2 linked regions of the Macaca mulatta genome follow. The protein of the gene in region 1 purifies or fractionates together with the protein of each later gene. This does not show direct contact. Links are inferred from orthologs where the notes say so. Each region holds a gene or a part of one and is shown on either strand. Other genes may lie near its edges.

Region 1 (5,180 bases):
GCGTGGGAAAACAGGTTCCACCCCTTCCCCAACATTTAACCCCTTTAAGATTGGGGCCTTGGGGGCTGTCCCCACTGACCTCGTGGATGCCAAAGTGGGCGTAGGAGTCAAAGTAGTAATCTTTGGATGTCATGTCCTCAGCATTGGGCTTCTCGCTGCTTTCCGCCTGGCCACAGGACACCTGGGAGGGGGCCGATGGGATCATGGGTCAGATCTGGGGGCTCCCCACAGTCTCTTAAACCTCCAGGTCCCTACTTTTCCCTGAACAGTAGTATAGAACCCCCCAAAATCATACCATTACAACCCTACAGCCCCCGCCTGCCATCTTGCCCCCCAAGAACCCCAAAACCTAACAACCCCATTTTCCACTTCCAAGACCCCCACAGAGCACCATCCAGGGGAGCACCCCGATACCTCAGCCATGCCTACCATCTCTCCAGTCTCTCTGCCCCCGTCTCTAGCTCAGCCCACAGCTGGGGAGGGGAGGGGAAGGAAAATGGGGGCAGACACAGGGAAGGGCAAAGGGGGGTTGGAGGTGGAGTTAAGGAAGTAGCCGAGATACTGGGGGAGGCCAGCGGGGGCTGTGAACCTGGAGGGGTTGCTACTAAGTGTTTGGGGTCCTGCAGTAAACTGGTTTGAAGCAAGAGGGGTATGGTTAGACCTCAAGAAAGGGCCAGATGTGTGGCAAAATATATTGATGTGGAGGTCGGGGTGGGAAGGGGTCTCACAAAAGGATATTTACTTCTTCAAGAGGCGGCTGGAGGCTCATCCCATTAGCCAAGGTGGCTACAAAATTCTAGGAGAGAGTAACAGGGAGAAAGGATTAGCTACTGGGAGTGGCTGCGGGAGGGCTGGGCGCGGGGACCTGGGCTCTGGCGGGGTGGGGGGGGGTGGGGGGGGTGGGGTTTCCAGCAATTCTCCTTCTTGGCGGGGAGTGGTGGCAAAGAGGGCAAGTAATGAGGTGGGGTGTTTAAGAAAGGGATGGGAAAAGTGAGGGGAGAAGAAAGGGGGTCTCCTATCCCAGCTGTGGCTGGAGAGATGGTGGCCTGCCCCCTTGTTGCCCCTCTCTGGCCAGGCAGCTGACCACACACCTCCCCCATCCAGGCCAGGGGAACTGGCACCCACCCCCGCCAGCTGTCGCTCCCTCTCATCACCTAATCTCCCCCAGATTAGGTGACACTTCCTGACACACACACCCCTATCCCAGGGTGCCATGAATAGCAGGAGGGAACGAGGCTGGCAGGGTATGCCCACAGGGCATCTGCCACCTCTGCAAACCAGTCTCATGTCTGAGAGGATTCCAGAATAGAGGTGTGGCACACGGGCACTTCCCCAGAGCTAGTACCCCAGCCCCCAGCTCCTGCCTTGGACTCAGGAGCCCCAAACAAAACCAGCTGGAACCAACCCGCTCCCTTATGACCCTCTGCCCACGAAGGTAGGGTCCCATGGAGGATGGGCAGCTCCTGGACCCTCTTAAGAATGAGCGGGCTCCAGAAAGTGGCTTGGGGGCGCGGTGGCTCACACCTGTAATCCCAGCAGTTTGGGAGGCAGAGGCGGGTGGGTCACCTTAGGTCAGGAGTTTGAGACCGGCCTGACCAACATGGTGAATCCCCATCTCTACTAAAAATACAAAAATTAGCTGGGCCTGGTGGCGGGTGCCTGTCATCCCAGCTATTCAAGAGGCTGAGGCAGGAGAATCGCTTGAACCCAGGAAGCGGAGGTTGCAATGAGCCGAGATCAAGCCATTGCACTCCAGCCTTGGTGACAGATTAAGACTCCGTCTCAAAAAAAAAAAAAAAAAAAAAAAAAAAAAGTAGCTTGGGGAGTCAGCCCATCGCCCCCATTTCAGACACCCATCCCAGGTCCTGAAGACTTCCAGGTGCGGCCAAGCCTGAGGCCACCTCTGGGAAAGTTATTTCCTCCGCCCACAGAGCCCCAGGTGCAGGAGACAGCCAAGAGGGTGCGAAGTCATTACAGTGACCCCTGGGAGCTGCATCCTGACAGCTTACAGCTGACCTGCCCCCCCAGTCAATGCCATGGGTAAAGGGGTGGAAGGACAGAGGCCCCATCAGATTACATCTCTTCCAGATGTGACCACTCCAAGAAGGGCCACGTCACTGGCCATGACCTACTAGGCTCCAAACACCCTCCCCCCAGCTCTCCCAAGCCAGCGGGGATGCCTATAAGAAAGGTGCTGCGGGGGTTTCCCGCTGGGGCCCATTTATCACCACCACTGAAAACTACTGCCAGACAACCCCAGCCCGAAGGCTTAAAACGCAAGACTGAAACCTCCCCCACATGGCTGCACGAGAACCAAACCTCACTTGAAACCATTTCAGGCACCCACCCTCAGGACCCCGGGGCTCAGGACCCCTACACAGGGCTTCAGGAAGGGGGAGGTCATCTCCCGCCCTCACAAAGGCCCAGGAGAGAGAAAGCGCTCCAGCAGAGGGTAAAGCTCTCAGCCTACGTATTTCCCACAACTCCTTCCCAGCGGACGTACCCTCCTCCCTCCGCCCTCCAGGAAGAAATCCGACGGGAGGTGGGCTTCAGGACACGCCCCATGAAAAAGATGTCCCTCCCACACACCCAGAAATGGCCACAAGGGGGTGCACGGCGCCTATTAGTGGGAAAATCTCCATCTAGATGCCCCACCACCACCCAGAGGGAGGTCACAGGGGCATGCCCCATCCCCCAACACCTAAAGCCCTGGGTGAGGGGGAGAACTCTAGGAGGGGAAATGGGGTCAGGGGGGCCCCATTCTTGGTTTTCCTCCAGTCCCTAATCCAGAACGCACAAATCCAGGGCCGATATCCCAATAGATGCCCCTGGAGCTCGGAAGGAGGTTGTAAAAGGCACTGCTCCTCCCAAAAGACACTCTACATCGTGGAGGGCCCCAGGTCGATCCCACCCCACGACGTGTGCCCGGGTCCCTGGGTAGGAGGGCTGGGGGCCTCAGGAGGGTCGGACCCCCTCCCCGCCCCCCCGGGCGCCCCTCCCCGGCCGGGGGCGGGGCCTTTGTCCCGCACGTGGAGCCCGCCGGGCCACCGGACTCGGCACACCCCCTCCCCACCCACCGCGCCGCGGCCACGTGGGGGCCTGGCCGGAAGCGCCCCCAGCCCTCCTCCACGTGGGAGGGGGGATAAGACCCTCCGCTAGGCCGGATGCCGAAGGCCCTTGAAAGCTAGGGAGCCGTCACCTCAAACGATATCCCCGGATGTGGAGCGTGCGGCGCCCCCGTGTGCGGCGGGGGACCTCCAACCCCATGTCGCCAACTTAGAGCCCTTTCCCCACCACAGAGGCGTGAAACATCGACCCAAAGCCGACCCCCGCCCACGGCGGCGCTCCAAGCGCTCACCTCCATGATGCAGTTCGCGGCCTCGGCTGCCGCCATCTTCACCCGCAACTACTCCTCCTCCAGCCGCCAAGACCCCCCCTTTCTCCTCACTCCCCCGGGACCGCCTTATACCAGAGGGTCCACGGCCCGCCTACCGCGACCCCGCTGGAAGATTTCATTGGCAATGGAGGCGGCCCGTCTGAGAATACCGTCTGATAATTGGCTGGAGAATACGTCCATCATAGGTCAGGGGTTTGCCAACACTGGCGTCCAGAATCCCGCCCCCTCAAGTCGACCCGAGATGGGGAAAACTGCCCGTCTATTGCAAGAAGCGCGACTGGTGATTGGGCAAAATCCACGAGGAATGCCCGCCCCTTTACCCCCAGCACCGCCTCAAAGCTTCCCGGGGAGCCCCGCGCTAAAGGGGCGTCTTGAAACAACTGTCCATCACCAAAACGACCCGCCTCTTAATCGCTGCCATTGGTTTATCCGGAAGTGACGTCACGCGGCCTTTCACCCTCGCCAAGCGGCCAGTCTCAAGGAGAACACGACAATTGGCCCACGGGTGGGGAAGAAGGCGGGGCTTCAGGCACCAACGATTGGCTCAAAGGAACGATCACGCCTAGTCCACTCGGTGGATCCTCCCAACCCGGGGGGAGTCTCGAGGAAAAAGGGAGCTTGTGCTCATTACCTGGGAGAAAAACTGAATCAGTGAGAGGCCCAGAGAGAGGAATGGCATCGCTGGGGTCCCCAAGCAAGTGAGGAATAGGAGTCCGCAGTCAACACATTAAATCCCTAGCCTTTGACATAATCATTCAAAGTTTTTAAAACCCATCAACCCCTCTCAAGGTACTTGGTTTTTGCCGAGTCCCTCCCCCTGCCAGGACCGCCCACCTCTCTTTGTCTTGTCAGCTTCTAAACGAGAATCAGAGCGCAGCTTAGGCACCACTTCCTCCGGGAAGCTTTGCTTGATTTGCAGGAAAAGTTCCTAGTTGAATGAGGCTGAATGCAAAGGGCCGAATGCGTGGGTCCTGCCCCTCCTCTCTCTGATCCCTCTGCTTCCCTCCGCTCACACTCCTCTCCAATCCCGGAATGAGCTCGCTCTTTGGTTTCTGGGCCTCGGTGCAGGCTATACTCTCTGGCGTGCCGCTGGCAAACGCCTGAGACTTAAAAATTTCCGATAGGATTCGGGCGCAGTGGCTCACGCCTGTAATCCCAGCACTTTGGGAGGCGGAGGCGGGCGGATCACTTGAAGTCAGGAGTTCGACACCAGTCTGGCCAACATGGTGAAACGCCCATTTCTATTAAAAATACAAAAATTGGCCGGGCGCGGTGGCTCAAGCCCGTAATCCCAGCACTTTGGGAGGCCGAGACGGGCGGATCACGAGGTCAGGAGATCGAGACCATCCTGGCTAGCACGGTGAAACCCCGTCTCTACTAAAAAAAAATACAAAAAACTAGCCGGGCGAGGTGGCGGGCGCCTGTAGTCCCAGCTACTCGGGAGGCTGAGGCAGGAGAATGGCATAAACCTGGGAGGCGGAGCTTGCAGTGAGCTGAGATCCGGCCACTGCACTCCAGCCTGGGCCACACAGCGAGACTCCGTCTCAAAAAAAAAAAAAAAAAAAAAAAAAAAAAATTTGGCCGGGCGGCCGGGCGCGGTGTCTTATGCCTGTAATTCCAGCACTTTGGGAGGCCGAGGCAGGCGGATCACAAGGTCAGGAGATCGAGACCATCCTGGCTAACATGGTGAAACCCCGTCTCTACTAAAAATACAAAACATTAGCCGGGCGTGGCGGCGTGCTCCTGTAGTCCCAGCTACTCGGGAGGCTGAGGCAGGAGGATG
Region 2 (5,180 bases), about 17 Mb from region 1:
ATTATAAATTATACGAATAAACTTTTGGCTTTAGGCTGGGTGCAGTGCCTCACGGCTGTAATCCCAACACTTTGGGAGCCAAGGTGGGTGGATCATTTCAAGTCAGCAGTTTGAGACCAGCCTGGCCAACATGGTGAAACCCCATCTCTACTAAAAATACAAAAATTAGCCAGCTGTGGTGGGCGCCTATAGTCCCAGCTACTTGGGAGGCTGTGGCAGGAGAATTGCTTGAACCCTGGAGGTGGAGGCTGCAGTGAACCGAGATCGTGCCACTGCATTCCAGCCTGGGCAAGAGCAAGACTCTGCCTCAAAACGACAACGACAACAACAACAACAACAACAAAAAACACAAACAAAACAAAACAAATGAAAACACCTTTGGCTTTACTATTTTAGACTACCATTCTTCATTCAAATTTTGAAATGGAAGGTGAAATTTTCTGATATCGAATTACTCGACCAGTCATGTAAATTTAAAATTTTTAAGACTGAACTCCTCGCTTCTAATCTTGAAATCTGTAATAAGTGTCCAGTATTGACTAGACAGTTATAATGTAGTTTTTGATTAGATAATATGTAGAATAATATATAAAGGTTGGATAATGTCAGTTTTTGCAAGCATAATCAAATTCCCCAAACCTGTTACATGTTTAACTCATGTTGCTTAAGAAAAAGCAGCTGGGTACAGTGGCTCATGCCTGTAATCCCAGCATTTTAGGAGGCCGAGGCAGGGGGATCACTTGTGGTCAAGAATTCAAGACTAGCCTGGCCAATATGGTGAAAGCCTGTCTCAACTAAAAAATACAAAAATTAGCCAGGCGTGATGGCACGCACCAGTAATCCCAGCTACTCAGGAGGCTGAGGCAGGAGAATTGCTTGAACTTGGGAGGTAGAGGTTACAGGGAGCCAGGATTGTGCCACTGCACTGTGGCCTGGGCAACACAGTGAGACTCCATCTCAAAAAAAAAAAAAAAAAAAAGCATATAATGATGTGGAATGAAATATCAAAGGCATGAATACAAACGTAAATTCAATGATTAAAAATTTTTTTTCACTGCTATATTCAAATATTTATCAAGTCATGACACGAAGAACAAATTTGTATTTTATGTCATATGAATTTAACTATTACAGACTAATGAAATACTGACTCCAAAAGCTGCTGAAAAGTTTTTAAAATGTGGGTTGTTAAAATGTAGACTTTTGGGGTTCCTGCATAAAAGGATATGTTCATAGTTTTTAAAAAATAACAAAAATACTCTAAAAATTTTCAAATGTATGTTTTTTTTCTTTGTGAGGAATAAAGGTAACACAGCCAACTTATTGAGTCACTAAGCTGGCAAAACACCTTTCAATTCAGATTAGGTAAAGCAATACTTTAAAAAATGTATTAAACCACTTTAATGAGAAATTATTTTCAACCCATATCTGGCTCTCACCCAGCACTTTTCATAATTTCATAAAGACAGGCTTTTTTTTTTTATAATTGCATAAAGCCAGAAAAACACTATACAGCTAAATAACTATTATATAAAAAATATAAAAATAAATTCAAAATAAGGCCAAGCAAAAACTAAGTTACTTAAGAAACATCACTGGGAAAGTCTTAAACACCAAATACCATCATGCATCCTATAGTGGATTTCTAAAAAGACACTGAAGCGCTAAGTCTACAGGTGTTTTTATGAGGTAATGTGTCATAATACAATGTTTCACAAGGTAAAGAGGGAAATGTGGGGGTACTCCCTGGTTTTTCATACTACTTTTAAAATTAGACTTGGTGATTTAAAAAAGTGTATAATTCAATGATCTTCAGCAAATTTGCAGAGCTGTGAAACTATCACCATCTTGTACTACTCCTTTATGGTGTACAGTTCTAAAACATCAAAAGGTTCCCTACTCAGGTATAAGATTTGTCCCAACGCCAGGGCTAGTAAAAAGATTTACCTTAGGCTGGGTGCGGTGGCTCACGCCTGTAATCCCAGCACTTTGGGAGGCTGAGGCGGGTGGATCACCGGAGGTCAGGAGTTCGAGACCAGCCTGGCCAACATGATGAAACCCTGTCTCTACTAAAAATACCAAATTAGCCGGGCGTGGTGGCGGGCCCCTATAATCCCAGGTACTTGGGATGCTGAGGCAGGAGAATCACTTGAACCCGGGAGGCGGAGATTGCAGTGAGCTGAGATTATGCCATTGCATGATCTAAAGAGCTAAACTCCATCTCAGAAAAATAAATAAATAAAGGATTTACCAGAGCATCCAACAAGTATTATTAAATACTTGATCCCGTGAAACCACTTCCCTATCAGTTAACGATTTTTAAAAGTTTACAGATTTCAAAAATCTTCTTTATCCTTGGACCAAACCTACCCAGAGAGTCCCTAACCATGCTATGCAGCTCCCACCTCTACCAGAAGTGCTGGGAAAATCACCTAGGTTATCTAGCTTCCCCCAAAGTATTTTACACTGTTGTGAGATTTCCTTTAAGATTCAGGAGCTAGTTTATTTACTTTCTGGTTTCCTGGCAGAGCAAAGGCCCTGCACGTGTGAACGGAAACAAAACCCACACAGACTCTAGCGATGCCAAATATTAATACTATGGGTAGGGGCACCTTCTTTCTCGGCCGAATTCCTTTTCCCAGAGAGCCTCCAGAGGGATCAGTCAACGCCCACTGAGCCTGGATCAAAGGTCAAGCTTGCCTGGTCAAGAAGGATCCTGGATCAAGCTTGAACCCGTTTCCAGAAACAGGGCAGTCGGGGCAGCAGCAAGCATTTTTACCACGCGCCCTAATGAGATGGTTGCACAACAGGCTTTGAGGATTCCGGTTTAACAGGTAAATACCAACAGAGAATGAGCCGAGGGAGATGGGATCTGCTCCACGGCATCGATGGCATTTCGAGAATGTCTGCGTCGCAGAGCAAACCCAAAGTTTTAGCACATTACTCAGAGTTCACCAGAGGAAGATTGCCACGAATTGAAATGAACAAAGTGAGAAAATGGGTGCTGTGTAGTCAATGCATCCGCGATGAACTCAAGCTGGGCGGAAAAATTCTTTGAATACTCCGGCTTTGTTTTGTGCTAAGACGACAGAAGCCCCGAATTTCGGAGTTGGAAGACGCGTTTCTCCGTGTTCTCCAGCCCGTTCTCGGACTTCAGGGCCGCCCGCCCGCCGCGCACTCAGTCCCGTAGTTCCCTGGGCTTCAGGCGCGGACCTTCCAGGGGGGCGGAAGCCAGGGAGCCGCGGGGAGGCCGCGGTCCGGCCCGCGACGCCGGGGCCCGGAGAAGGGAGGGGAGAGGGGAAAGGCCTGCCGGAGCTCGACGGAGGGAGGGAAGGGAACGAGGAGGCCACGGGCCGGAGCGGGGAGCAGCCCCGAGCGGCGCCCGGCCCGGCCCCCACCCCGAGGCCCGGTCCCGCGTACCTTTGGCAAGGGCTACGGTGGAGTTTTCGGTGTCGATGGTGTAGAGGATGCCCTCGTAGCGGATCTCCGCCTTGGAGATGAGGCTGATCTTGCTGCCGATGTAAGGGGTGCCCCCGCTCATGGCGCCGCCGCCGCCGCTCCCGGCTGCTCGCAGAGAGGCAGATCCCACGCCGCTGTCGCCCGCTCCGCACGCCCGCTAGCTCCGTCGACACCTACAGCAGCCGCTTCAGACCCAACATGGCGGCGGCGCCGGGTCCGCTACCCTCCCCCAGCCTCCCGCCCTCAAGCCGCGGCGCGGCGGCGGCGGCAGCGGCAGCGGCGGCGGCGCGGGGCATGCTGGGAGGGCTAGGCCGCGCTGTCGCGAGACTTGGCCGACGGCTGGCGGCTCTCGGTTCCTGGCTCCCGGCTCCTTCGCGGCCTCGGGAGTCCCGGCAGCGCCTATTGGCTTGGGCTACGGCGGTGGTCCTGGGGCCGCGTGAGAGGAACTTCGGGGACCGGCTGAGTGCCTCGTGGCACCGCTTGCTGCGGGCTGGAGAGGAGGCGCGCGGCCCTCCTTTTGACTCAGGCCTTGGCCGCCTTGTCTTGGGTCCTGTGTCTTTGCCGACGCGGGGCCCTCCGCCTGGAGCGCTGCCCACCCGCCTCCGAGTTGTGGCGAGCCGCTGCTCATCCTTTTAAGACACTGAACCTGCACCTCGTGGAGCTCCTACGGCTCTATTACCGCAGCCATCGTCCAGGGAGCTTCCCCCGAGGCTGCCCCTGGAGCTGGGGCTCTCCCGACGGCTCAGTGTTTTAGTCCCTTCCTGTCCCTCTCATTCAGCCGGTCTGAACTAGCTTCATGGCTTGCAACGCCATTGTAACTCACCAATCCCAATTATCAGTCTGTAGCTTGGATCAATTCCGTGAACTCGGGTTTCGCGCCTAGCCTCTGTCCAATCTCCAACGTTAAGGGTCCAAAGCCATGCTCCCTATTTCCCCTCTAACCTGCTCCTTCACCACCGTTCCCTGTTGATGTAACCGGTACCATTTTTACTCAGCTGCTCAGACTAAAAGCCTTGAGTCAGTCTTGACCTCTGTCTTGCTTCCACATCTGTTCTGACTACACCTCTCCGTTATATCTACACAATGTATCCTAAATCTGACCTCTTCTCCTCATCTCCATCCCTACACCTCTCCCACAAACCACGATTACTCGGGCTGAATTATTGCAGTAGCCTTCTAAAAGTTGCCTCTGTGTCAACCCTTGCCCCCAGTACTTTATTCTCAACACAGCAGCTAGAGAGATCTTGTTAAAATCTAACTCAGGGCTGGGCGCGGTGGCTCACGCCTGTAATCCCAGTACTTTGGAAGCCCGAGGCGGGCGGATCACAGGTCAGGAGTTGGAGACCAGCCTGGCCAACATGGTGAAACCCCGTCTCTACTAAAAATACAAAAAAATTAGCCGGGCATGGTGGCGCGCACCTATAGTCCCAGCTACTTGGGAGGCTGAGGCAGGAGAATTGCTTGAACCCAGGAGGCGGAGGTTGTGGTGAGCCGAGATTGTGCCACTGCACTCCAGTCTGGGCTACAGAACGAGACTCTGTCTCAAAAAAAAAAAAAAAAAGAAAAAAAAATATATAACTCTGATCATGTTCTATCTCTACTCACTCTACTGATCCCATGTTACACAGAGAGAAAACCAGACTTTGGCTTCTAAGGATATACATGAATTAGCTTCTCGTTCTATTCCAGTCACGTCTAATTCAACCGGTACTTGAGCACTT

What was found. The genes of interacting proteins can lie anywhere in the genome.
Region 2: the proteins of PRMT1 (region 1) and LSM14A purify together in Homo sapiens (affinity purification with mass spectrometry; 3 studies listed by BioGRID and IntAct, with this or other methods). This does not show direct contact. The link is inferred for Macaca mulatta from reciprocal best matches to the Homo sapiens genes PRMT1 and LSM14A.

Annotation. Positions count from the first base shown.
Region 1 is NC_133424.1:62,129,116-62,134,295, reverse strand, and holds the start of PRMT1 (protein arginine N-methyltransferase 1), read right to left. Parts: upstream 3,409-5,180; 5' UTR 3,395-3,408; coding exon 3,359-3,394; intron 797-3,358; coding exon 743-796; exon of another isoform or gene 739-742; intron 529-738; exon of another isoform or gene 433-528; coding exon of another isoform or gene 415-432; intron 182-414; coding exon 80-181; intron 1-79. UniProt on the Homo sapiens protein: Arginine methyltransferase that methylates (mono and asymmetric dimethylation) the guanidino nitrogens of arginyl residues present in proteins such as ESR1, histone H2, H3 and H4, FMR1, ILF3, HNRNPA1, HNRNPD, NFATC2IP, SUPT5H, TAF15, EWS, HABP4, SERBP1, RBM15, FOXO1, CHTOP, MAP3K5/ASK1, MICU1 and NPRL2.
Region 2 is NC_133424.1:45,494,092-45,499,271, reverse strand, and holds the start of LSM14A (protein LSM14 homolog A), read right to left. Parts: upstream 3,572-5,180; 5' UTR 3,542-3,571; coding exon 3,421-3,541; exon of another isoform or gene 2,696-3,420; intron 956-2,695; exon of another isoform or gene 242-955; intron 1-241. UniProt on the Homo sapiens protein: Essential for formation of P-bodies, cytoplasmic structures that provide storage sites for translationally inactive mRNAs and protect them from degradation. Acts as a repressor of mRNA translation. May play a role in mitotic spindle assembly.